2 linked regions of the Schizosaccharomyces pombe genome follow. The gene in region 2 interacts genetically with the main gene of each other region. Each region holds a gene or a part of one and is shown on either strand. Other genes may lie near its edges. The genes, in order: gid5 and SPOM_SPCC306.11.

The links.
Region 1: mutations in SPOM_SPCC306.11 (region 2) and gid5 together harm fitness more than expected from each alone (negative genetic interaction), as found in Schizosaccharomyces pombe (one large-scale study listed by BioGRID).

Annotation. Positions count from the first base shown.
Region 1 is NC_003424.3:4,116,645-4,129,852, forward strand, and holds gid5 (protein Gid5), read left to right. Parts: upstream 1-5,328; 5' UTR 5,329-5,504; coding exon 5,505-7,874; 3' UTR 7,875-8,093; downstream 8,094-13,208. Other genes in the region: RecQ type DNA helicase Hrq1, read right to left, coding at 1-537; mgs1 (DNA replication ATPase), read right to left, coding at 643-741, 782-1,556, 1,601-1,618, 1,664-1,694, 1,738-2,329; CAF assembly factor complex subunit B Pcf2, read left to right, coding at 3,255-3,386, 3,482-3,584, 3,626-3,868, 3,934-4,994; mga2 (IPT/TIG ankyrin repeat-containing transcription regulator), read left to right, coding at 8,568-12,023; shelterin complex subunit Pot1, read left to right, coding at 12,885-12,953, 13,000-13,120, 13,193-13,208. UniProt on the Schizosaccharomyces pombe protein: Component of the GID E3 ligase complex recruiting N termini and catalyzing ubiquitination of proteins targeted for degradation.
Region 2 is NC_003421.2:423,572-435,700, reverse strand, and holds SPOM_SPCC306.11 (uncharacterized protein), read right to left. Parts: upstream 5,287-12,129; 5' UTR 4,914-5,286; coding exon 4,062-4,913; 3' UTR 3,431-4,061; downstream 1-3,430. Other genes in the region: gamma tubulin complex GCP6 subunit Alp16, read left to right, coding at 1,027-3,306; adenylyl cyclase-associated protein Cap1, read left to right, coding at 9,425-9,483, 9,558-11,154.

The sequences.
Region 1 (13,208 bases), on a different chromosome or scaffold from region 2:
GATATTAGCCTTCATTGTTGGGCCTTCACGTCTCCTTCGTTTGGAACTTCTCTCTTGCGTTTCTAAAAGCTCAATAACCAAAACATATTCAGAACTCTGTGAGACCGTTGAACCAGTGTACAACTCAGGGTTTAGATCAGTGTAAACATTTTTATTGATTTCTAATGCAAGGCTAGCAAGTGATTTATAATTTAATTCAATTATTTGAGGACATATTTCTCTTAGCTGAGATAAATCGCCGATTGTCAACTCCTTTTTCAAACTTTGCTTAACACTCGAATTGAGAAGGGGAAAAGTGATTGTAAGAGAATTTCTCAAATAAAGAAAAGTGTATGTAGTATTAATTACCTTGAATAAATTAAAAAGATTGTCAAATATGGATGGAATAGGCTGATTAGCTTGAATAGTTCCAAGTTGTGGTTTTTTTTTGGGATTATCTGCTTTCAGAGGGAGCTTCCCTTCATTAATATATTTTTTAAATTCAAATTTATCATCCTGATCATTAGATTCTTCCTTTTTAATAGGAGTTTGAGACATTACCCCTTCACCATTAAAGTATGGGCTAAGTGCAAAGGTATTGAAATACAATGATTTCCATTATAACGTGGTAAATGAACAATTAGTGAAGGATCACTTATATAATTATTTAGTATCAGTTTTTAAATTTTTAATTTCTTCATCCTCTTTTAACTCTATAGGTAGCTTATAAAACTTTGTTCCCTTGATAGAATCGGGTAAATACTGAGTAGGTTAACAAATTGAAAAGAATATTTTTTATTACCTCTTGCATTACTAATCCGTCTTTATAATCCGGATTGTATTTATATCCTTTATGGTATCCTAATTGCTTCATCAAATTTGTAGGAGCATTTCGAATATGCATGGGAATTTCAGCCCTGCCAGCATCGGGATGAGAAGACAAAAAACTTTTTACAGCATTATATGATCTGTAAACGTCAACTGATTTTGGAGCTAATGCTAAGGCGACGGCGCAATGAGCTAGAATTACATCGGCTTCAGGCATGCCAACTTGTTGAACAGCAGTAAATGTACTGGATGCTAGAGGTAGCATAGAATTATCTGCTATTCCAATGTCTTCGCTTGCTATTCTAACCATTCTTCGTGCCACATACAGTGGATCTTCTCCAGACTCGAGCATTCTACCCAGATAGTATAAAGTTGCATCGACATCAGAACCCCTTACTGATTTATGGAAGGCAGAAATTGTATCATAATGAACATCACCTACTCTGTCGTAAAGTGCAGAAGATCTGACTAGCTTGTCCTTAATATCTTCGAGTGACAGGGGTCCTTGTCTTAGCATTCCAATAGACATTTCTAAAGCATTTAAGGCCATTCTAGCATCTCCGTCTGTAATAGCAGATATGTAATCAATAATAGATGTTTCAACGTTGGGCATAGAAGATCCTAGTCGCTCACTTTCCAGTAAGCAAGCATGGTTTAATATTTTCTTAACATTATCACGCGTTAGTTTCTTAAGCACAAAAACGGGGCATCTGCTAATGAGAGCAGAATTTAGTCGGAAAGAAGGATTTCTACAATGTTAATCATGGTGGAAAACATTAGTGTTTAAACATACTCAGTTGTTGCGCCGATCCTAATTCAAAGGTTAGCATTTGTGATATTAGAATGCATCACTTACAGAGTAACTAGACCCTTTTCAACCATTGGCACTAGTCATGGTTAATTGAAGAGATAAAAAAATATCAAACTTACAAAATATATCCTGTTGCGCACGGTTGAAACGATGTACTTCGTCCAAGAAAATAATAGTCTTTCTTCCTGTCAAGGTGAGATAATTTTGTGAGTCTTCAAAGATTTTACGACAATCAGCAACAGTCGTCGAAGTCGCAGAAATTTCTATGAACCTTGATTTTGTTGTAACGGCAATTAGTCTAGCAAGCGTAGTCTTTCCAGTTCCAGCACTACCCCATAAAATCATGGAATTGCACCTATCTTGTTCAATCAGATTACGAATGATGCCTCGCTCACCAACCAGCTCTTCCTGACCAACATATTCATCTAGTGATTTGGGTCTTGCTCGTTCCGCCAGTGGTCGTGTATCCCGTCTTGTAAGTTTAGTTTTCTTTGTAGGGCTGGGTTCAGGCTCTATAAATTTTGTAGCGCTCTGGTGAGATGAGACATTTGTTTCTAAATGATGTTTATAGCGTTCCTTTTTAAAAAAGGGTGAAACAGGTTTCGAAGGGCCTGATGAGTCCGAATAATGTGAATCAAGGTGTGGATTAATGTCATTCATCGTAACTGTTTTCGCGCAAACAGGACATTGAACATGATCTGGTCCTGACATTCTGATTTACATAGATAAAAGTATGTGGTACGAAAGGTAAACAGATAAATCTGGAATGAAACAATAACACATACAAATGAGCGACCTTTGGCAAGAAAGTTTACAAAAAAAAGTAACGTTTAAGGAATTTTGATCATCAAAATTGCTTGTTGTTTATGACACTCTCAACAGCAATATAACAGAGCTGAACGGCATCGATTGTACAAAACCGTGAACCAAGTCGTCGCGTGTAGTTAGGGAATTATACGATGAAGTAAGAGGTTATAATAATATCAAAGTATTTGTTTAAGCTAAAAATATTACTTACAAGAAAAAGTTAGATTTTAAATTCATATGTGTTATTATAGTTGACAGTTTTTATACGCAATTTCACCGCCTAAATGATAAGATATTAAAAAAAAAACAATAGAAATGATGAGTCTATGGAAGATAATAAAATGTCTAAAAACCAAAATGATGTTGATCCAAGACTTGTAAACTACGCGTTTTAAACCCTCAAATTTTGTACTCTATTATATGAAATACTCTGTTTTTAAACCAAGGGGAAAGGATGCAATTTCAACTGTGAAAGTCCATAATATTTATAAGAAATCGAACCTTATAAACTTACCTAACACTAAACATAGTAATCGCACGGCTAATAAGAAGACTATTGTGCAAACTAAAGGGCTTTAAATAGATAAAAAAAAATAGAGTATAACGGGCACTCAGCATATAATTCAAAATTTTTCCTCCAACTACTAATGCTGCTTGAACATTGAACCCAAAGCAAATTGACAAATAATAGAAATAACAACAATATTAGAGAGTTCATAAAAAATTCTCTTTGAACTCTAAATAATATACACGTTAGTTCCGTACTCACGAAATTACTATTAGAAAAATTGTGCGAAGCGATCCTAGAGCACTAACGACGAAGAGGAACATGAGAGCGGAGGTTTTGCAGATACGATGGCATTATGATGCTAATGATGATCACACACCTATTTATTCAGTTGATTTTCAAAAGAACAGTCTTAATAAATTTGCTACATGTGGAGGAGACAGTAAAATCAGGGTAATGATTTGACATAAAACTATTTTTGCTTCAACTATTGTTTGTTGTAGTTTAAAAAAAAGAAAGAAAATTCCTTCAATTATACTAATATCCAGATATGGCAATTGATCACTTCGGAATCATCCACAAAAGTCGAATATTTGTCTACGTTAAGTCGACACACGCAAGCAGTGAACGTCGTTCGTTTCAATCCAGAAGGTATTCGCTAATAATTTTTTCCAATGCTCACATTAAAATAGGAAATATTCTTGCTACCGCCGGAGATGAAGGAACTATTATGTTATGGGTTCCAACTAACACTCCTATAACAACTTTGGCTGATGATGCGGAAGAGTTGGCTCTAGCTAAAGAATATTGGAAGGTCAAAATAGTTTGTAGGTCGATGGGTTCAGAAATATATGATTTATGCTGGTCGGTTGACAGTAATTTTCTTATTGCCGGCGCCATGGATAATAGTCTTCGGTTGTACGATGCTCACACAGGTATGAATTGGCAGTTGTTGTTATTGGCAATATTTTTTTTTAAATTAAAATTACTGACTAAGAAGGGCAACTGCTTACTCAAAAATTCGACCATTCACATTACGTTCAAGGGGTATGTTGGGATCCTTTGAATCAATACATCGTTTCGGAAAGTAGTGATCGTTCTATATGTTTATACGAAATTCAAGAGGAAAAAAAGAATCCGAAAAAATTCCAACTCGTTTTAAAATCGCGCATCTGTCGTATTGAGTATAATGTAACTAAATTCGAATTAATATCTGTTACGAAGCCCTTAAATAATGATGAATCATCGGGGATATCAGAACCTATCGAAACTTCTAATAATAATGAGTCTCCCGTATCTAAGCACGAAGCTCTCTCATCAACTGCAAACATAGTCAAAGATGGAAGCTTAGAGCGAACAGAGCCTCCAAATTCTCTCAATTCAAAAATCAGTTACTCTTTGTACTGCAATGAAACTCTTGTTTCTTTTTTTCGTCGTCCAGCATTCTCCCCTGACGGATTACTACTAGTTACGCCTGCTGGTCGGCTTCGACCGCACGGTCAACCAAACTTTGAAGTTCCCTATACTGCTTATATTTATACAAGAGGGAGTATAACCAAACAGCCAGTAGCTTGTCTTAATGGATTCAAAAAACCAGTTATTGCGGTTCGTTTTTCTCCAATTCATTATGAATTGAACTCATTCTCTAACTTCTCTTTTACTTCTGTCTCTTTTAATCTTCCTTATCGAATGGTATTTGCTGTGGCATGTCAAGATGCTGTTTATATTTATGATACGCAAACTTGCAAACCATTTTATCGTGCAGTAAATTTACATTACTCTAACCTTACAGACATAGCTTGGAATGATGATGGAAATGTTTTGTTAATGACTTCTATAGATGGTTTTTGTTCTGTAATTACCTTTGAACCTGGAGAATTGGGTGTCAAAAGTCAACACAAAATTTCTTTGCCGGAGAAACGATCAGCTTCACCCTCTAGTATTGATGATTCACAAGACAATACGGCTGGGGGACCAGCTACTACAACACTAATTCCCAGAAAAGTTGAATCTTCAAAAGTATCAAAGAAGCGTATTGCACCTACCCCCGTTTATCCATAATTTCATGTTTATGAAAAAAGTTCTACTTCGACAATACGCTTTGATTTTTGGAGTAAAAATCTCGTACTTCTTGTTTTGTACTAGTAACTTTAAAGAACCTTTTATTTTTTTAAAAAAAAAAAAGAAGGCAAAACTGTACATTCTACTTTGGATGTAATCATTCGGTAATTTGCTTAGATATAAGCACAATTAAATTCATTACAATTGTTAAGATAAATATATAAAAAGCAAATAATACTTCTAATCGTTTGTACTTTTTGTCTACTTAAGACTATAAAACTAATATGTAACTTTTCTGTAAGTATAAAATACGTATTGAGGAACCCTCTTACACATAACATCACCACCATTCTATAGGAATTGCATCTTATACATTACTCATTGCATAGATTAAATTGCTAATAATCTACTTTTATTAAAAAAAGATTTAATCAGCTCATTTTCACGCTAGTTTTCCAAATTTACTGAAGTCTCATATTTTTTGCAAATATCTTCAAGTTTTGTTCATGAATGGTCGCCATTAACGACTCTACGGATTCTTCGTTTTTTAAAGAAAATCCTAAAATATTTAAGGATGAGCATGAGTTGTTGAGGTATATCGTTCCTTTCAAAAATTGGGTAATTGGAAGACCCGACAGAAAAGAATATGCAATTCGCAATGGAGCTCCAAAGCTGTTGCTTAATTTATTTTCCTTAGAAAATTTATCCATGAATGAAAAATATCAAGTTTTTGTTGTTTTAAACTCCTTGATGAGTGAGGACCAGGACCCTTTCGTTCAATTTTTACGACACGAGGATCTTCTTTCCGTTATGCAAATGATTTCGAAAAGGGATAGTACACCATATGGAATGCTGAATATCACCCTTAAAGTTTTTAACACAATGCTGAGTTTTGACAAAGCAGCAGAATATGTCACTCAGTTACATTCGGACTCTATAATTAATCAAATGTTTGACTTGTATACTTTACCCTTGAAAGAACAACCTTCTCTTGATGTGTTGCGTATCTCAAATTTATCTTCTAAGATTTTGCATCGTCTTATCCTTTATAACTCTAAAGTTGGAGACTCTCCACGATTCTGTTCTGCTTTATTTCAAATCACTAACAGAGCTACCCAATTGCGCTTGTATTCCAGAAGAAGATTTTGGAATGATTGCTCTATCTTAATTACTAACTCCCTGGGTACTTTGAATGCTTATTTAAAACAGCATGTGAAGTCTTATAAACAAAGAGAGAAAACCCGGCTAGAATCAAATGGTCACGTTTCGCCTCGCGATATGGATTTAGATGAAATTGAAAATGTTTTTGAGGGAAACAAGGATAAGGTCGCCTTATTTAAATCAGAGATATTTGGGCCTAATGGTGATGAATATATTACTCAGTTATTCTGTCTCGTTAGACAGTTTGATCCTTGTATTCGCTTGCTCTCAATTTCTTGTTTAGTGACCCTATACAAGGCAGGCATCCTTTCTAAAAATCAAACTAAGGAGATTCAAATGATAGTAACTCCCATTCTCATCCGTTTATTTTTTGAATCTCGAGAAGCAAAACAAATCGCTCCTCGTATTCTCGCCATCATAATCAATGAAAACGAAATTATGCAAAAGACGGCTGTAAATGCAGGTTTTATTGATGCTGCCAAATATCTTCTAGAATACGCAACTAAAGAAGAAGAGAATGAAATTAATTTTTTATCCGATGAATTGCAATCCAGCGTTTGTTTTAATCTTCCTGCTACCAAAAAGGAGCAAAAAAACCTAATCTTAGAATCAGTTTTGCTAGCCGTTGCTGCATTAACAACTTCTAAAGATGAATACAGAAAACTAATAGTTGATGCTAAATATTTGCCTGTTATCATTAATGCTTTGAAAATCAATTCTAACAGCGTGAAAAAGGCTGCTTGTGAATGCTTATTAAGTCTCTCGAGAAGCGTTTACATTTTACGTACGGGCCTTGCCGATGCAGACGTGAGCGAACCATTAATAAAGTTGCTTTCTGACCCGGATACTAGAGTCAAATCGACTGCTACGTCTGCCATTTGTAACTTGGTACTTAAGTTTTCTCCTTTGAGAGAGAAATTCCTTACTACAAATTTCATTGATACTTTGATATCAAATATTAGTACGAAAGATAGCAGTCTAAGAAAGAAGACCGTGTGGGTTCTGCGGCATGTTGTATTTGGTGATGATGAGACGATCCAGCTTGAACCTTTAAAAAAGATCGGTGCTTCAAAGCTTGTGGAACTTTGCAATGACGAAGATCTGGGGGTCCAAGAGCAAATGTTGCAAGTGCTGCGAAATTTTACATGTCAGAAAGAAGAAAGCGTGGATTTTCTTTTGAAAATGGTTCCTATGGAGTTGTTAGCAAAAATTTTGCTTGAAAAATTAGAAAGTAAAAATCCTATCCTAATTGAACCCAGTATTTACATTTTGGTGCACATCGCTGCCAGCGATGGTGAGCTTAGGGATTCTATCCTAAGGCAAACCAAACTACTACTATTGGTGAAGGAAATTATGCTACAAGAAGCACAACGTCTCAAGCCCGAGCAAATGTCCACAAATGTGTCATCTCCGGAAAGTGACAGTGAAATGGATTTGCAAGAAGATGATTTTGATAGGGAAATGCGTCCTCCTTTCGATATTTATGAAGAGGACACTTATGAACCAAACTCCGAAATTCTGTTGGCCGGAATTTGGCTCTGTATTAACATTCTATGGCCCAAACAATGTACATCTCCAAGCCAGGAAGATAAGGAAAGAGCAAGTATCTTACAAAATCTCGGATTTGGAGAATGTTTGCAGATGCTACAAAATCACTCATCTCCTGATGTAAGGGAACGTGTCAAAGATGCCTTGATGTACATCAATGTAACCGATTAATTTCTATTACGCTTTTCCGTTGTCTTTGCCGACTTGATTGGAACAGTCTAACAAATCGGAGCCATTTTCGCATTTAGTATTTCTGTATGTATAAATGTGTGCACAACTCTTGCAGCTGAAGTTAACAGGTTGTTGGATTGAAGTACTTTGAGAATGATCGTATATAAAAAGATTTAATGATTTATCAAAACGAATAAAATAAGTATTATGAACATTCAACTTATATGTATGCGGGATAGTGTAAAAACCTATTTAACATTGTAAAAATTTTTTAAGGAAAGTTGTACTTTGACAAGAACAATTTCATTTACATGTATTCTACTAAATTTATCAGAATGTTGGGAATTTTTTTGTTGGTATATAATGCCGAAAGGAAATTAATCGAATATGAAGAAAGTGGCGGAACTAAAAAACAAAACCCACAAACTAATTATTTAAATAAATATAACATAATAACTTGTTAAAATAAGAGTAATACTAGAGAATGTGTGCTCAAGTGGAAAGCATGTAATACTTGCACAACGTGATGGAAGAGATTAGTGTAGTAGCGCAGCGACAGCTTCCAACAACCAACTAATCGAGGAGGAAAGCAAAAGTGAGAATTGAAAAGAAGTAGTACATTAAAGACCTTTAAATTCTTTGAAAGAATTGCCTTTATAAAGGTAGTCTATTGCATTTCAAAGTACTCTCAAGATGAATTTAGAATTTTCTTTTGGAAATTTGATCGCCAAAAATACCGAGAATTCGACTAAGGAAGAAGGAACTTGGGAAGTAAACAAGCTCATGAAATTTAGTTCAGAGGAGGGGAGGTCTTCCTCTGATGATTATATGTTTTCCTCTCCCGATTTTGAAAAAGCCGGAAACGGCGATGCAGAAATGCGTGAATTTTTTAACTTCGATGGATTGCCGGATCAAGGTCTAAATTTGCCTAGTATAGCTCCTCCGTCTTTATCCCATGCCAGTTCACCTAACTTATCGAATTCACAAGATGAAGCGGAATGTTTACCGTCTGATCGTCAGCAAGACTACATCAATCCTAGTTTGCATTTGAACAGAACGGTGTTTCCTACTCCGCAACATTCTATTTCTGATGCTAATTTTCTAGCTAATACCGTTGATCAACCTTTGGGAGATAATCCCATGTTTGGAGAGTCGGATGTTTATCTTTTAAAAATGGATCCTATGAAACAAGCACCTTATGAAGCTGGATTTAATTCTGTAAAGTCATCGGGCGCCATCGAAGATCCATTACAGTTTAGACAGCCGATTACCATGTTGGAAACTCCCTTCAACGAATCTATTAATACTCTTACGCCATATGCCGAAGATTATGCATTTTCCTCTTTAAATACGTCTGCACCGCCTCTTTCTAATAAGGAGTACGCGTTCTCAGTTAATCATTTACCAGCTATCAATGAGCACAAATGGAAATCTCGGGTGGAAACTAACATGCTTTTTGAGTTGCGGATCAAGAGCAACGATAATCAAAGTGTTCCGTTTGAATATCTTCGCTTGCCAAGTTGGGCTCACCGTGAAGACAAAAAGCGTTCTTCGAAACCTCAGCCTTTGCAACCCGATCCGGAGACCGTCATTCATCTTGTACCTACCGTTCTTGCAGGTGACAAAAGCTCAGTTGTTAAGACTTGCTGTACTCGCTGTTTACTTCGAGAAAGGAAGCGCAATGCTCGATCTCAAGCAACAAAGGATGCTTGTATGCCTAACTATACTAAACTGAAGGCTTATGAGCGTAACATGACTGATGCCTCTCCCGAAGAAAAGCAGCAGTTCAGGATCAAGCTCTTAAATCAATTTCCCAAACTTGAAGACATAGATGAAGATAGAATGATAATGGTTTTTACTGGACCTGAGTACGTTCGTTTGCAATTGGATGGAAATGAAAGAGTTGCTCACATCAATGCACGGATTACATGTTACTCGTCTCATCAATCATGCCCTTACTTTCACATCATATGGGACTTATACTCCATGTCACGTTTGGTGGATCGTCTTGTTTTTCCAGAGCCTGTTACCGTTCTTGATGATCATAAAAGTAGAAATCTTACGAAATCAGAAAAGACTGGTAAGAGCAATTCTCAACAAGCTCCTTCAAACCATGTTCTTTCTAAAAGCAATACTGTCCCCAATCTTGTCACTGGTTTCCCTACCCGTTCAGATAATCCACCAAATGAAAAGCGTCGTCGAACATCCTCGAGTGAAAATTCTAGAGCACTCGACATACAACTATCTGCTAGTGACTCGCATTCACCTAATTCGAAAAGCACTTTGAAAAGTGTTGAGGGCTCAGCCTTTAGTATGAGCAAATCCCCTTCTGTGCTGAGTATGACTACCCCAAGCGGCGTAAGTCCTTCCATTTCAAAGAATGGTTTCCATGTTGTTCGAGTTCCCAGCGATGCCGCTGGTTTCCAACAAAGACAACAGCAAGAGGAAGGAGTGCTTGAAGCCCATACAAATGAAAGTGCCCCAATAGCCCCATTCCCTTACTGTACAGATGATTTCTCGTTTTCCGTTGAAGAAAAAAGTAGTGTCAACAACTTGCTTACACAATTTGATGAGGTTGCTAAACCTGATTTTGTAAGTACGCCGATAAAAGAAAATGTTGATTCTTCTTTTATAAACATGACTCCACCTGATGTTTCACATGCTCCCTTAATATCTCGGATTATTCCTAATAAGGGTTCAATCATGGGAGGTTATGAAGTTACAATTCTTGGCGCGAACTTTTTTAATGGATTAGTCTGTTTATTTGGTGACAACCCAGCTGCTGTAACTTTTTCGTGGAGTGAGTCAACGATTATAGCGACTTGTCCTCCTGCAACTAATGCTGGAACCGTTCCTGTAACCTTTCAGAACTATAATTCATCTTCTGAAGCGCCAGTAATGTTTACTTATGAAGATAATTTAGATAATGAACTTTACAAATTAACTGTTCAAGTTTTAGGCTTAAAACTTACTGGATCTATTCAAAACCCATTAACGTTATCCAAAAAATTGTTGAGTTCATGGCGCGACGATTTTGCTCAATATATAACAAATTCTATTAAGCAGCCTCCTAACAGTGAATCTAAAGGTCAGTCTAAAAAAACCTTATTGCATGATAGCAATATGGAATCGCTTAAATCGGTTATTTCGCGGATTGTGAAAAAAGACAGTAATCAGTCTGATGACAGTGTTGAAAGTACTATCCTCGCAGCATTTGCTCTTGTTACAGATACAACGACACCATACCTTTCTGATTTTAGTCTTGTTAACGAATCTGGTAGGTCACTTCTCCACCTTACTGCTGCCTGTGGATTGTCTAATGCTTCGACGTTCTTATGCAACGCAGGATGCGATGTTAACAAAAGGGACGCACTTGGCTATACACCACTGCATTATGCTTCATTGTATGATCATAAAGACATATGTGTTAATTTACTTTCCAACGGTGCCAAGCCTGATGTTATAGGAGCTAGCGGTAAAAAACCGATAGACCTCTCCTCTTCTGAGCCTATAAAACTGGTCTTTAAGGAAGCAAATAATGAACAAGCCCAAAGTATTTCTCGCTCTCTTATTAAGGATTCTGAAGGCTCCATTAATACAAATGAAACCTTAGAATCAACCAGTATTGTTAACGAAATTGAGGAATCTGCTGTTCAGACCAAGTCATATAGTGAAAGTATGTGGAATAAAACTGTTACAATGTTTCCATCGCTTCAAGAACTACCTCAGAATTATATGAGTGAAGTTCCATCCATGATGCAAAAAGCCATGCTGTCAACCTTAAAAAGTATATCGGCCATTCCCGATGATGTACCCCCTCCTTATTCTGAGTTTGCTGATGATACGACAGCGCAAGCTGGTTCTAGTAAAAGAGATAGCGCTATATCTGAAGATCCCGATCATCACAAAAGTGTTTGGTGGTCTTTGAGATGGCAATCTCGGCTTGTTGGTCGTGGAAAATCTACTGCTCTTACTCCTGAAGAAACCAGAGCAATACAGGAGCAGGCAAAGACACTGAAAAAGGCAGGAATGGACTTTATGCTATTCTCTTTCTGGTTACCTGCCCTACTTTTGCTGAGTATCTTTGGTCTTCGAAGCTATGCTCAAATGATCGGGGGATATTTATATCGCTGCATAATTGGCATTTAGGTTTGACGAACAACCATGCATGTTTTTTTCTTTCTTTTAGTTTTATTCTTTTTTGTAGATTATGAGCAAACTACTGTCAAAACTTAGGTATTATGACAATGAAATCGTATATATTATATTCGATTGGATCAATTTTTTATTATATTGAAAGTAATTGCTTATTTTGTAAGTTAAACTTACATGGGTTTAAACGCATAGAGCAGGTTGGCGCTTTTAAAACCAAAATAGATCGTTGCAGGTTTGCTGTTCTGGATCGTGAATGCAATACCTTAGGAAAGTCTTTTAATAAGCTATCGCTTTTTGCATTGCATTCTTTTTCTAAACTGAACGTTAGATTAGCTAAAGTAAGCGTCTTGAGTTTTCGAGATGAACCGCATACATTAAAATTTTTAAGTACCAATTGGCATGAACCGGTATGCGATCTGCTTATTATAATACTAGTAAATCTTGATACTCGGCAAACTCTTTCAATAATAGCCTAGCAGAAACTGGGATATGTCTAAAGTTTTACAACTGCGCTCAGCTTAAGGACTTTACGGCGATCCATTTAATAGCTAGCCATGAACACTCATAACCTCAAGATTGAGGAGTGGGTCATTCTTTTGCTTGATAAAGAAACAAATTCATTATTGGTAAAATAAAACTGAATAACCCTTAGTTCATCCTAGGAATTTGAAGAAGGGGAATGATCAAGCTTGAACAAGTAACTCTCACGCAGTCTATTGAATAATCTGAAGGTTCATCACTTTCAAGGGGTTGTCTTGGTTTAAAAAGCTTTTACCAATTCCATTTAGGTTTCTGAGAAAGGCTAAAACTCATTTGTTGTTCTTAAAGGATATTTGGATCATTCGTTGATCAAGCATGGGAGAGGACGTTATTGACAGTCTTCAGTTGAATGAGTTATTAAATGCTGGAGAATATAAGATTGGAGTGAGATATCAATGGATTTATATTTGTTTTGCTAACAATGAAAAAGGAACTTACATTTCAGTCCATTAGAAGCTCTCAAGAATTACAAAAGAAGAATACTATTGTCAATTTGTTTGGAATAGTAAAAGATTTTACCCCTAGTCGCCAAAGTCTACATGGAACTAAGGGTATGCTTGCTTATCATGGTGGAAACTATACTTTTTATTTTTCCAGTCAAGAGCTAATAATCATGTTTTTAGATTGGGTAACCACCGT
Region 2 (12,129 bases):
AAGTACAAAGTCTTGTGTTATCCGCAAAAATTTTTAATTAATCATTTTTATACCATTGGTGTCACAAAAATCCCGATTATTTTAGAGTTAGACTGTCGTTTATGTTTTTTGAGAAAGAATTAAAACAACTTATCTAGTCTAGTGTTTAAAAGAATTTTATACTGTTTCATTAAGAATAATGAAGATATCCCTTTCCAAAGGCAAAAGAAAAGTCGATAACTATATAATGCAAGCTTCTAAACAAACTTGAATTAGTGATTGCAACATTTCTTTTGCCAACAATATTTAAATCCTTCATTGCTTGACACATGGTTTTATGAGAAAAATTAAGAAAGAACATTAAGTACTTCAAATAAATTTGTTGAAGGATCCAAAATTCTCCAAATAGACTTTTTTTATATGAAGATACCATTCATTCAGCTTTGACTCGCATGCGAGCTCTCTGGACAATAAACGATCAAGCCAGCGAGGTATACTGTAACCATAATATCACGAATAGTACAATAAACTTTTTTTTAAAAAAATCTAAATGTACTAACCAGAGAAGCATAAAAGAGCTCTTATAGTTCCATAAAGGATACGTTTTATCCACATAGCACTCTCTTAAAATTAAATGCTGGAATGTCGTTTTGGATAGATTATGCAATTGTGCAATAGTAATTCCTTAACAACTGATAGTTTTTGTTCAATTTATCATTCTGTTTTATTCATCCTGGATACCTTTAACTCCATGTCAGTATTTTCTGTTGTACGGCCACGAGAGTACGGATTTTTGAATTGGTTTCAATGTTAGGATCAATTACTAACGTTCCATTTCTTAGTTTAAGAGACGCATACTTCATTCACATCTTCTAATCCTGACTGTTCTAGATAAGAAGTCATCTTAATTCGCTACGTTAACAACATTATACATTAACTACACACATATTGCCAAATTTTAGTAATTCATAACAAGAGTGTTTTCCAGTAAAGGAGTTGGATCTTGAAATGTACCACTAAAATAGATGATTTTGAAATAAAAATGGAATGGATGGAATTATGAAAAACGACTTGTTATGGTTCGGCAACCACGTTTTCGACCTTACGCCAAATTCATTTGATTCTGATTTTGTCGAGCAGCTTTCGAAATTTGAGGGAAAAGAAGGATTGAAGAGGAAGTTATTTGACTCCTCGGAATACTTTCAAAACTTTTCATTTCAAGTAAACGATGATCTGTTGGGAAAAGATGTCATTCTCGATATTTCAAATCAACAACTAACACCCGCTGTGCCTGGGTGTGAGACATCATCCAATTCCAAACTCATAAGCGCATCTAAGGAAATTACTTCAGAAAGAAAAAGAGCTAAATCCTCAGTGTCCCCCTCTTATCTTACAGATTCATCACCCAGCGATTTATCTGTCGAAAACAAAGTTCTGCTAACATGCCCTAGCTGGGATGGAGAAAATTTTAAAAATTTAGAAGCTAGATCTCCATTCATATCTGAAGCGCCTTCTCGGGTATATGATTATTTTCTTCATAATCAGGATTGGAGTCCGAAACCATTATTTTCTGCACTGCAAGTTTACCCTTTAGCAACTATTTTCAATTGCGTGGCTGGTTTACCACAAGGATTTGAAAGCACAGTGTTTCCATGGAACAAAACCTCAAGCACATTTGAACTCGATCCGACCATCTCCGTTTCAGGAATGTCCGATGAATGTTTTGCTAGTATCGTCCAGAAATTTTCTGCAATTGGGGGTTTAATAAAAAAAGCTTTAAATGAATTCTCTTTATACAAGACCAACATTTCTTTTTATTTATCAAATTTCATTGTGAATGGTGTCTTGCAGTATCGAAAGGAGTTTCAGCGTTGGCTTCGTCTTTATGAGTTCCGTAGATTCGGTCTGATTGGTTTAAGTAACTTTGTTAATTCTTTTTCTTCATTCTTTGAGTTAATTTCACACTTCTTAATAAAATCGGCTCAAAACCTAAAAGGAGATTCCTTGTTAGATTTTCTTTTTGATTATGCGCGTTCATGTCAGAATACCATATCTTACCCCATTGCCCTACAGTGCTTGATATATTGCTCAAATCCCTACTTCAAAAGGCTTGAGCTTGCTTTAAAAGTTTCTTGTGCGTATGGTCACATTGATTCTTCATTGTTCTTATCACTTCCCCGTTTTTTTCCTTCTGAACTTTGTGTAAGCATTGAACAGTGTATTCAATTTTTGTCATTAATAAGGGAACAAAAAGAAATATTTAATAAAAACAACAAAGAATTTATTAACCCTTTGAACATTCGGTTCGCATATTCTTTCAACGACATAAATCAAGCTTGTGTAATAGAGGAGCGCTGCAACTTTTCTTCGCTTTCTTTTGGTAATTTGGAACAAACTTCCGTCAATAATGACAGTGAAGAATTTGAAACGCTGCTTGCTAAAATGAACATGACTCCAGATTTCAACGATAATTTATTACAACTTAAATTTACAGATGATGTGCGCAACGTCTGTCCGCTTAACTTGAATGTTTGCTGCTGTATTGCTGAGCCAATACAATCTTTTATTCTCAGTTTCTTACGTTCGACATATAAAGTTTTAAAAAACGATTTTCAGGTGTTTGATCTTTTAAATTTTTTTCATTCCACTTTTCTTTTTCAAAATTATGAATTCTCTGATAATGTCATTTCTCTGTTAAAATCAAGAAGGCTTGATAAATCTGACCGTAATGAGTTGGCTGAGGACTTGAACTCTGATGACAGATATAATTTTATTTCTCGATTGAAAAAATTCATTTTTATGGAAAAAGAAAAAAATGGGTTGAGCAGGTCTTTATCTAAGAGTATAACTTTTACATTGGATTCTGCGAGCGTTAGTGAATTTGAGGATGTGTACCCTGATTTACAATTCCAATGCCAAGTAATAGGTGCTTTACGGATATTATTTACTGATAACTCTTTAAATTATTATTCGAAAACTTTTTCTTACGTTTTACATCTCTTTCAAGCTCAATCAGACTTTGAATCATCTGTCGAATTGAAAGATCGTTCTATAGTAACAAAAACAACTATTATGTCATGGTCTAAGTATCAAGGCACGAAAGAATCTCTTTTTCAGTTTCTTTCAATATACATTCCAGAGTGTATGTTGCCTTTTACGAAATTACTGAAATCCATATATTCTCCTGACTGTCCTACGAACATACAAAATTCTGCAATTAAAAATGCGGCTTCAGTTCACGAGCAGTGCACTAAAGCAATTTATCAAAAGGTCAAAGAGTTGTTTGATACCATGAAACTCTGGGAGTCATCCATCAAAGTGTCATAACAAAAAACCAGATCCGGATGACGGATTTTTACGAGTGTAAACATGCTAATCTCACCTTTAAGTTTGAAGAATATACGATTTTACAGCAGAAAAAAATTTATAAGCACAACACTTACAGAAAATTCCTTGCATAAAATGATAAAGAATGTAAAGAAGTATTTGGATAAATTCATGAGTAAAGTATTTACTAGAGATATATCTTAATCTAAGTTTAAACAACCTGTGCCAAACAAAAGGAAATTAATTTAACAAAGAAAGGGATGAAGAATTAAAAGGAATCAAAATAGAAATGAACAGTCAAGCTTATGATTGATTGTTTGAAGATCAAACATATCAAGGTAAAGTGCCATGATCACAGGAAAATACGCAATGTAGTTTAGTAAGTTATTTTGGTGCAAAAATATATGCGCTTTAATGGTGGAACATACCAGTATGTCCCACTTAATTTGCTCGTTCAAAAAATGCATGCAAAAAAAAAAAAAAAGATACAAATCTGTAAATACCTCACGCAAATATAAGAGTGCAAATAAAGACATGTTGAGAAAAGAGTAGAGGCAAAAGCCAAAAGATAAAAATCTTACTGGACGCCTATCACTTTGGTGAAGTTGAGGGTAAACGGACAAGGAATGCATGAAAAAGGAAGGAGGTAAGTGATAATTTAATGTTAGCAAGGAAGACATGCAAGTAAGGAACAAGTGCCCATGTTCCTTATTTTAGATTTTTTTTAAAGAAAAAGGGAATCTATGCGAAATCCTTTACCACAAGAAGGCATTGTCACGGTAGTTAAAGACACTGGTAATGTTTGGATTTATTTTGGAAGTAGTGTTAACAATAACATGGTCATCGGCAACAGGGATACGACTGTCGTTGGTATATACACAAATACCTTGACCTTTATAGCCAATATTACGGCAAGTAGCACCACCAAATGGAGTGCGCAAAGCAGAGTTACAATTAACGGGGTATTGGGTGCCATTGAAGCAAGTGTTAACCAAGTAAGGGTAATCCGTATTACACAAAGTCATGTTGCAAGACCAATCCATTGAGGAATCACGAGTGAATAAGATGGGTTGATCAACAATGTTGGTATAGCTTAAAGATATACCGGAAGAACGCTTGCTGTGAGTGCTCGTACTTCCCGAACTAACGGAAGTGGTCACGTTGATAACATTTGCATTGTCAAAGTTGGAAGAATTAGCGCTAGTGGAGTAGTTGGAGGATCCGATCTGACAAAGACCGCGAGTTAGTCCGTAGGAAGAATTGGTTTCAACACATGCGGAACCACGACCCTTGGGATAACCAAGCACAGTAGGGCAGTTCAAGAGAACAGTGCTATGATTAGCGCAAATGGCAATTACATCGGGTGAAACACAAAGGTTGGAGCCACTTACATGGCAATATGTACCTTCCGAAATATTATAATAGGAGGTAGAAGCTATAGCAGAACTCAAGTCAGGAAATGTGTCAGTTGCACGCTTATATAAAGAAATCTCACGCCTTTTACAAGCAGGAGCACCTGGTATGCCACAAAGCTTGATGGACGAGACATAGGAGAACGAGCAAAGGAAAAAGATGGCCGAAATCGCAAAAGAGGCAAATGCAAACATTTTTTTTATAAAATTAAAATGTGAGAGTACGTAAAGTAATTTTTGGAGACGATAATTTTGAGAACGGAAAATGCAATTGAAAATAGGGGGAAATAATGGAACGAAAGGGATATCAGATGAATAGAAAATGTAAGGACGATAAGAATATATGGAATAAAAATGTAGAGACGATGAAGTCTTTTTGGATCGATTAAAAAGGAGGAAAGATGAACAATGATAATAAACTCAACTACTTCAAGGAGCTTTGTCAAACTGAAGCACCCAAACACTGGGACGACGTTTTACAAAGTAACTTAAGAGAAGGAAGACAAACGATGTAAACAAAAGATGTTTTCAAGTGGAAAACAGCCAAAATGCAAAGACCAGATTTTATAGCAAACCGCAATGGGGAAGCAGATCGATGTTTATATATACGAGTTTAGCCTCGTTCGTTAGACGATCCTGACATCATTTGTTTACAGTGGCAAGCTGGAGAAGCAGCCAATCAGCGTTGAGAATGTTCATCGCAACCAGCCTGCGTCACCGTGTAAATAAACAAACTCGGAGGGCAACCAGCCTAATGTCAACAAAACAATTCAGATGGCTGGCAATATGTTCAAAGGTGGCCGGATTGAACTGAATATAGCAAATGTAGAAAAGAAACATCATGAAAACATGATAAAGTATCTCAATATTATTATTATTCAGTCTCACTAGTTAGTTGGGCATTATGGACAAAGAGCTTTGATCATCGCAACTCACTCCAATTAACAAGTGTAAGTGAATAGTCGCGATACAAGTGCATCGATTCAAATCCATTCATTCAGCTGCTCATCAAAACAAAAGGCGGGACAATTGTGATGTGGTGTTAAAATTCTTGAGGATGTATGTGAATATGGCATACTAACTACCTGCCCCCTAGATATTCAGCTACACTCTCTTCATGAATGTTTGGAAGTGAGGCTGGCGCCGCAATTAAACTAACTACAATTTCTTTCTTCATAGATTAGGATAGTAAAAGACTTGGAACTATATTTATATATTAAATATTTATTATTTATTAATTTTTGAAAGGATAATGTGTGAGCAACATAGTTGTTTTCGAATAGCAGGAATTTCAAATTACCCATATAGAAGACATCCAGTATTGAAAAAGGTAGAAACAAAAAATGAGTTGGAAATCAATTAATACATCAACTATGGTTAAGTATTTGGTTTAACGGACGCTGTAAAATTTTGCCTTTCAGAGGATATATTTCAACTAGTAGGGGAAAAAAGAAGTTCCTTGCTTCAGTAAATTTATAAAATCCACTGGAGCTTTTTTACAAACAAATTTTCATTATCTACAATTGAAACTGCAATTTGGAAAGATTGCACGTAAAAAAAAAAAGGAAAGAACATGCAAGAGTTTCAATTGTAACACCCTTCTGCAATAATCGGCCAATGTTGTCGATAAGATATAAAGGCTTTAAACAACCAACCACTGTATGTTACAACCTTGTGCATTTTGTTTCTTATCTTAATAACCTTCCAGATGTAAACATTCGCATTCATCCACCTAAATTGAATCCTAACGCTAACTAATTTATTAATATCCCCAGGCAAAAAAAGTGGATCATTAACAAGAATAGGAAACATCAGGAAAAGCTGATAATATGATCTAAAATCAGTTTGCTCAAATATTTGATCCAAATCATAAATGCAATATGAAAGAGCACGGCGAGTTTTTTTATTGCAATAGTTAAATGTAACAACCAGTAAGCAAACTCTTTTTTTTGAATAATAAAACCATTATTGTAAACTTCATAAATCGCTTTCATAATGTATGTTAACCAACATCGCGAATCATTTCAAGCGATGCATTGGTTTGACAATTTATAGTAATTGGAAGAATGAGTTAAGCATATATTCCATAAACTTATAGTGAAAGAGGATGATTAAAGAAAGTTGGTGCTAATTTTTTAAAAAACGCCGCAGCTTCTCTGCATTGGTGATTTTGGTAAAGAGGTTTTCCAACTGTAGCGACAACTACATTAATAAAGCAATTAGACTTCGCTTTCGGCCTCCGTTTCTTCCAAGGGAATGTCATTATTATCGTTGGCACCTCCAATCGCATTTGCTATACCTCCTAGTCGGGTAAGTAAAAAATCATTCATACAGTTGGTTGAATACACATACCTAGGAAAGAAGCTATACCATTCCTGATAAATTTGGGCATCCTTTTGAGAGCACCTGGACATTCTGATACGGTTAGAATAAATTACAGGAATATTGAACAAACCCATTTCGTAAAAGAAAAGAAAATTGCCTATAACAAAGAGTGAAGTGGCTTCAATTTCGTAGCCTGTCCCGTCGATATGTTTATCAAATGAATGCATCAAACCTTTCTGTACAATAACGACACAACTTTGTACACCCAGCATTTGAAACAAACCAAAAAGCATATGCTTGAGTGTCCAAAATGGAAGACGAACTGCGTGTTAGCGGTCAGTAATGGTAACTCCATAACTTCACATACCATATAGTAAAAATAAAAGTAAAGCAGCTGAAATACTGCATGTAGAACAGATGAGAGCCTTGTATAAGTTCAGGTTACCGAATTTGGCGCGAAGAAAAAGTGTATAGCAAATGACTACCCATAATAGCCAAATTATTACTACCCATTTTTCCCTTGAGTTGTACAAGCCGACCGCAGTTACCTTTACACATTGTGCCAAGAAATTTACAGTTACTTTAACTGCCTTGGCCCTTTTCATAGAAGTCTAATGAGTTAGTGACTGAAGGTAAGATTAACCCCATTGTCTCACTTACAAGTCAAGAATATTAAAGCCAAAGTGCAAACAAGACACCAAAATCCAAATAACGTCCATTCCGCTGCACCATAATTTTTAAAGAAAGCGTCTTTATACTTTAGATAACAAACTGCTAGAGCATTGAGTAGAACGATTGGAGTGAATGATATTAGTAGTTTAATCAAAAAAGGGGAAGAATCATCTGTCGTCCCGGAAGAATGGTTTTCTCTATGTATGTTAGGAGGATTGCTTACACGTGCGTAATCTGTTTAAATTAATATGATTGAAATACTTTAGTAAAGAAAGTGCATGTATCAAAGTGTGTGCATGCATGGCCGACTATAAACAATGATCACATCCAAGTTATTTTACAGCAATGGCAAGTTTCAACTTTCAATTGAGTAATTCCTTTCTTATTATTTACAATTCTTACCTGAATATGGAGGTAATGCGCCCTCTTCCTCTGAATTATATTCTGGAAGCAGGCCTTTTTCCAAATCGATTTCATGATCTGTCTTCAATTCATCTTCTTCATCTAGAGGACTTTTCAAGGAAGTGTAATTATTCTTCATTTCATCAAGATAATTCTTTATTTAATAAAACACATGCGCGAATTAATTGCTGTGATTGCGACAAACGAAACAGCGAAATCAAGAATATTCACTCTGGAGTTCAGTTCCCGCCGCTCAACATAAATAAATGAGCAATACTCGTTTCAAAGCAAACTGTTTTTTCAATAATAGCAAGTGAAAAGTAGAATTCCAAAACTCATTTTCAAAATGCAATTGCTTCTGACACATTTATTTTGTCACTGCCCTTTTTATTCACCCCAACTTAGCTTTCCTTAAACGTTATAGGGTTCAAGACATTAACGCAGTACAGCAAAATTACAAATGCGTGTGTACCGCCTTATTTGCCAGCAGCCATTTAAATTAATAAATAAAAGTATGATTAATGTAAAATGACTTAGTAAAATCAATTTACTCCTAAATTATAAATCAACATAATTTTCAACGTTGTTTTGCTAGGTCTTATTTGCCAATACTGTACAGGCAATGTTATTATAGTCGTTTAAATAACTGCATTCCTTCACTTTCATCGTAAACAAATTCTTTTTAAAAAATTGAGGCATTAACATTTCAACAATGAGACTATACTTAGAGTAAGCATAGGGATATGTAGGAAAAGGATTGAACTTCGTCAAAAGTTTAGCGACTGTAAACAGCACGTCAAAAATTAAAAGCTCAGCAACGGCATCGCTGCTTCTCTTTTCCAATCTTTTAACTCAGAAAGCGTATATAGTTTCGATTGCACAACAGACGAAGCTGCCAGATTAAAAACCTTACCTCGATAATCTCTGGACTCATCTCAGCAGAGGTTCGGTGCATTTAATAATTACATTTTTTTTGGCTAAAGTAAGGTGCAGCGCGAATATGGAATTATTTTTTTATGTTAAGTATTTATGTTTGTTCACAGCCAAGACACGATCATTGCCAGTAGCTCTTCTAGCTTCAAAAGAGGGAAATAGTTATCGTTTTTTCAATTTTTTATATAATAAAAACGCTAGTTTATACTACAGCTGAAAAGGTTAAGTCGCTTTTTTCGATACCGAGTTTCATATTGCTTAAGCCGGCTCTATGTTCCTTCGTCCTCCATCCACCACCACACTTACTATATTTGTTGCGTTGCATTATAAAAATCACTTAACCTCCGCTAAACACATTTTCTTTTCGTCTAACCATGTCGGATATGATCAATATACGTGAAACAGGCTACAATTTTACCACGATTCTCAAACGGTATGTAATTGCATTAAACTGCTAAAAGAGTAATAGTCTTTAATTGATTATGCATCTAACATTTACTCATATAGACTGGAAGCGGCAACTTCTCGTTTGGAGGATCTTGTGGAAAGTGGTCATAAGCCTCTTCCCAACATGCATCGTCCTTCTAGAGATTCAAACAGTCAAACCCACAACATATCCTTCAACATTGGTACTCCAACGGCCCCAACCGTGTCGACTGGTAGTCCTGCTGTCGCATCATTACATGATCAAGTTGCGGCTGCTATCAGTCCTCGGAACAGAAGTCTTACATCCACCTCTGCCGTTGAAGCGGTTCCTGCTTCCATTTCCGCCTACGATGAATTTTGTTCCAAGTATTTATCTAAATACATGGAATTGAGTAAAAAAATTGGTGGTTTGATTGCCGAACAAAGTGAACACGTCGAGAAGGCTTTTAACCTTTTACGTCAGGTTTTGAGCGTCGCTTTGAAAGCCCAGAAACCCGACATGGATTCCCCGGAACTCTTGGAATTCCTCAAGCCTATCCAATCTGAACTGCTCACTATTACCAATATTCGAGATGAACACCGCACCGCCCCCGAGTTCAATCAACTTTCTACCGTCATGAGTGGAATTAGTATTTTGGGCTGGGTCACAGTTGAGCCCACTCCATTATCCTTTATGTCTGAAATGAAAGATTCGTCCCAATTCTACGCCAACCGTGTAATGAAAGAGTTTAAAGGTAAAGATGACTTGCAAATCGAATGGGTTCGTTCTTACCTTACTCTGTTGACTGAATTGATTACATACGTCAAGACCCACTTCAAAACCGGTCTCACCTGGTCTACTAAACAGGATGCAGTACCCTTGAAAACGGCTTTGGCAAACTTGTCTGCTTCGAAAACTCAGGCACCATCTTCTGGCGATTCTGCAAACGGCGGCTTGCCTCCACCACCACCACCACCTCCTCCATCTAATGATTTTTGGAAGGATAGCAACGAGCCCGCACCTGCTGATAATAAAGGTGATATGGGAGCGGTGTTTGCCGAAATTAATAAAGGCGAGGGAATTACATCCGGACTTCGTAAGGTGGATAAGAGTGAAATGACCCACAAAAATCCGAATTTACGTAAAACGGGACCCACTCCTGGTCCTAAGCCTAAAATCAAAAGCTCTGCTCCTTCTAAGCCAGCGGAAACTGCTCCCGTTAAACCACCTCGCATTGAGTTGGAAAATACTAAGTGGTTTGTTGAAAACCAAGTCGACAATCACAGTATAGTCTTGGATTCTGTGGAGCTCAACCACTCAGTGCAAATTTTCGGTTGCTCCAATTGCACAATTATAATTAAAGGAAAGTTAAACACCGTTTCCATGAGCAACTGTAAACGTACTAGCGTTGTAGTAGATACTTTAGTGGCCGCTTTTGATATTGCTAAGTGTTCCAATTTTGGCTGCCAAGTTATGAATCACGTTCCAATGATTGTTATCGACCAATGCGATGGAGGTTCCATCTATTTGAGCAAATCTTCGTTGTCGTCCGAAGTTGTCACTAGTAAATCAACAAGCTTGAACATCAACGTCCCCAACGAAGAGGGAGATTATGCTGAACGTGCTGTTCCCGAGCAGATCAAGCACAAGGTGAATGAAAAGGGAGAGCTTGTCTCTGAGATTGTACGTCACGAATAAGTTTTTCTCAGAGAGCTTTTTCAAGCTATATTCCTAACGGTTTCATAGTAAAGATTTAAGTTGATTTGTCTAGAGCTTTTTATTCATCTTCATCTTTTTCTTTTACTGCTACTAACGACACACTTTGCTCGATGTTTTGTAAAATTGATCAATCAAATCTTCGGCTTATTTCAGAGATACAAATATTTGTTTTCCCTTCGCTTTCGACTTTCCGATGCGATTTACCTTTTGCCCAAATATCCCTTGGACTCAATGTGTACTTCCCCACATACATCTTTATATTGAATGGGATCGGATAATGCGCGGGAAAAGTTGTTGTCCGTACCACGAATTGCTACGTTGACTTTATGATATATGCGTGCATGCATACATACGAATAGTGGTTATTTTACGAGTTAAACGATATAGAAGCTTAAATTTAGTGATTGTTTGTGTGCAAATAGAATTTATGGATGACAATGATAAGGCTGTTGTATATGACGCTTCCTCATTTCTTTTTCCCTGTTGATTTTAACTCGAAAGGATTTTAAGTGTCTTCCGTTCGCCAATTGAATTCATCATCATCTTCTTTTTGTTTTTGTTTTTCAGTCTAAACAAATCCTCTAGCTAAGGTATCATTTTCTCGATTGCTGTTTTGCTCATGTTATGTTTTTATGAAAAAAAGCCATGCTGTTCAATAAAAGAGGAAAGGAAGATTTTGGAAGTTTTATAGTTGAATGAGTTCATCTATAAATATATACATATATACATATATATAATATACAAAATATTTTTTCTTTGAGGCTTGAACTATAACTTTACAACTGTCACTTTCATTCTTACATTGTACAGCTGCCTGTATAATCTGTTTCCATTGTAGAGTTGAAATAGTACAGTAGCTTTTCTTTCTGCCAAATATTTACAGTAGTGTAGCAAGAAGCCACTATACGAGTTTTAGGAATTTATTCCGCATTGCTTTGCACTGTCCTGCGGTTT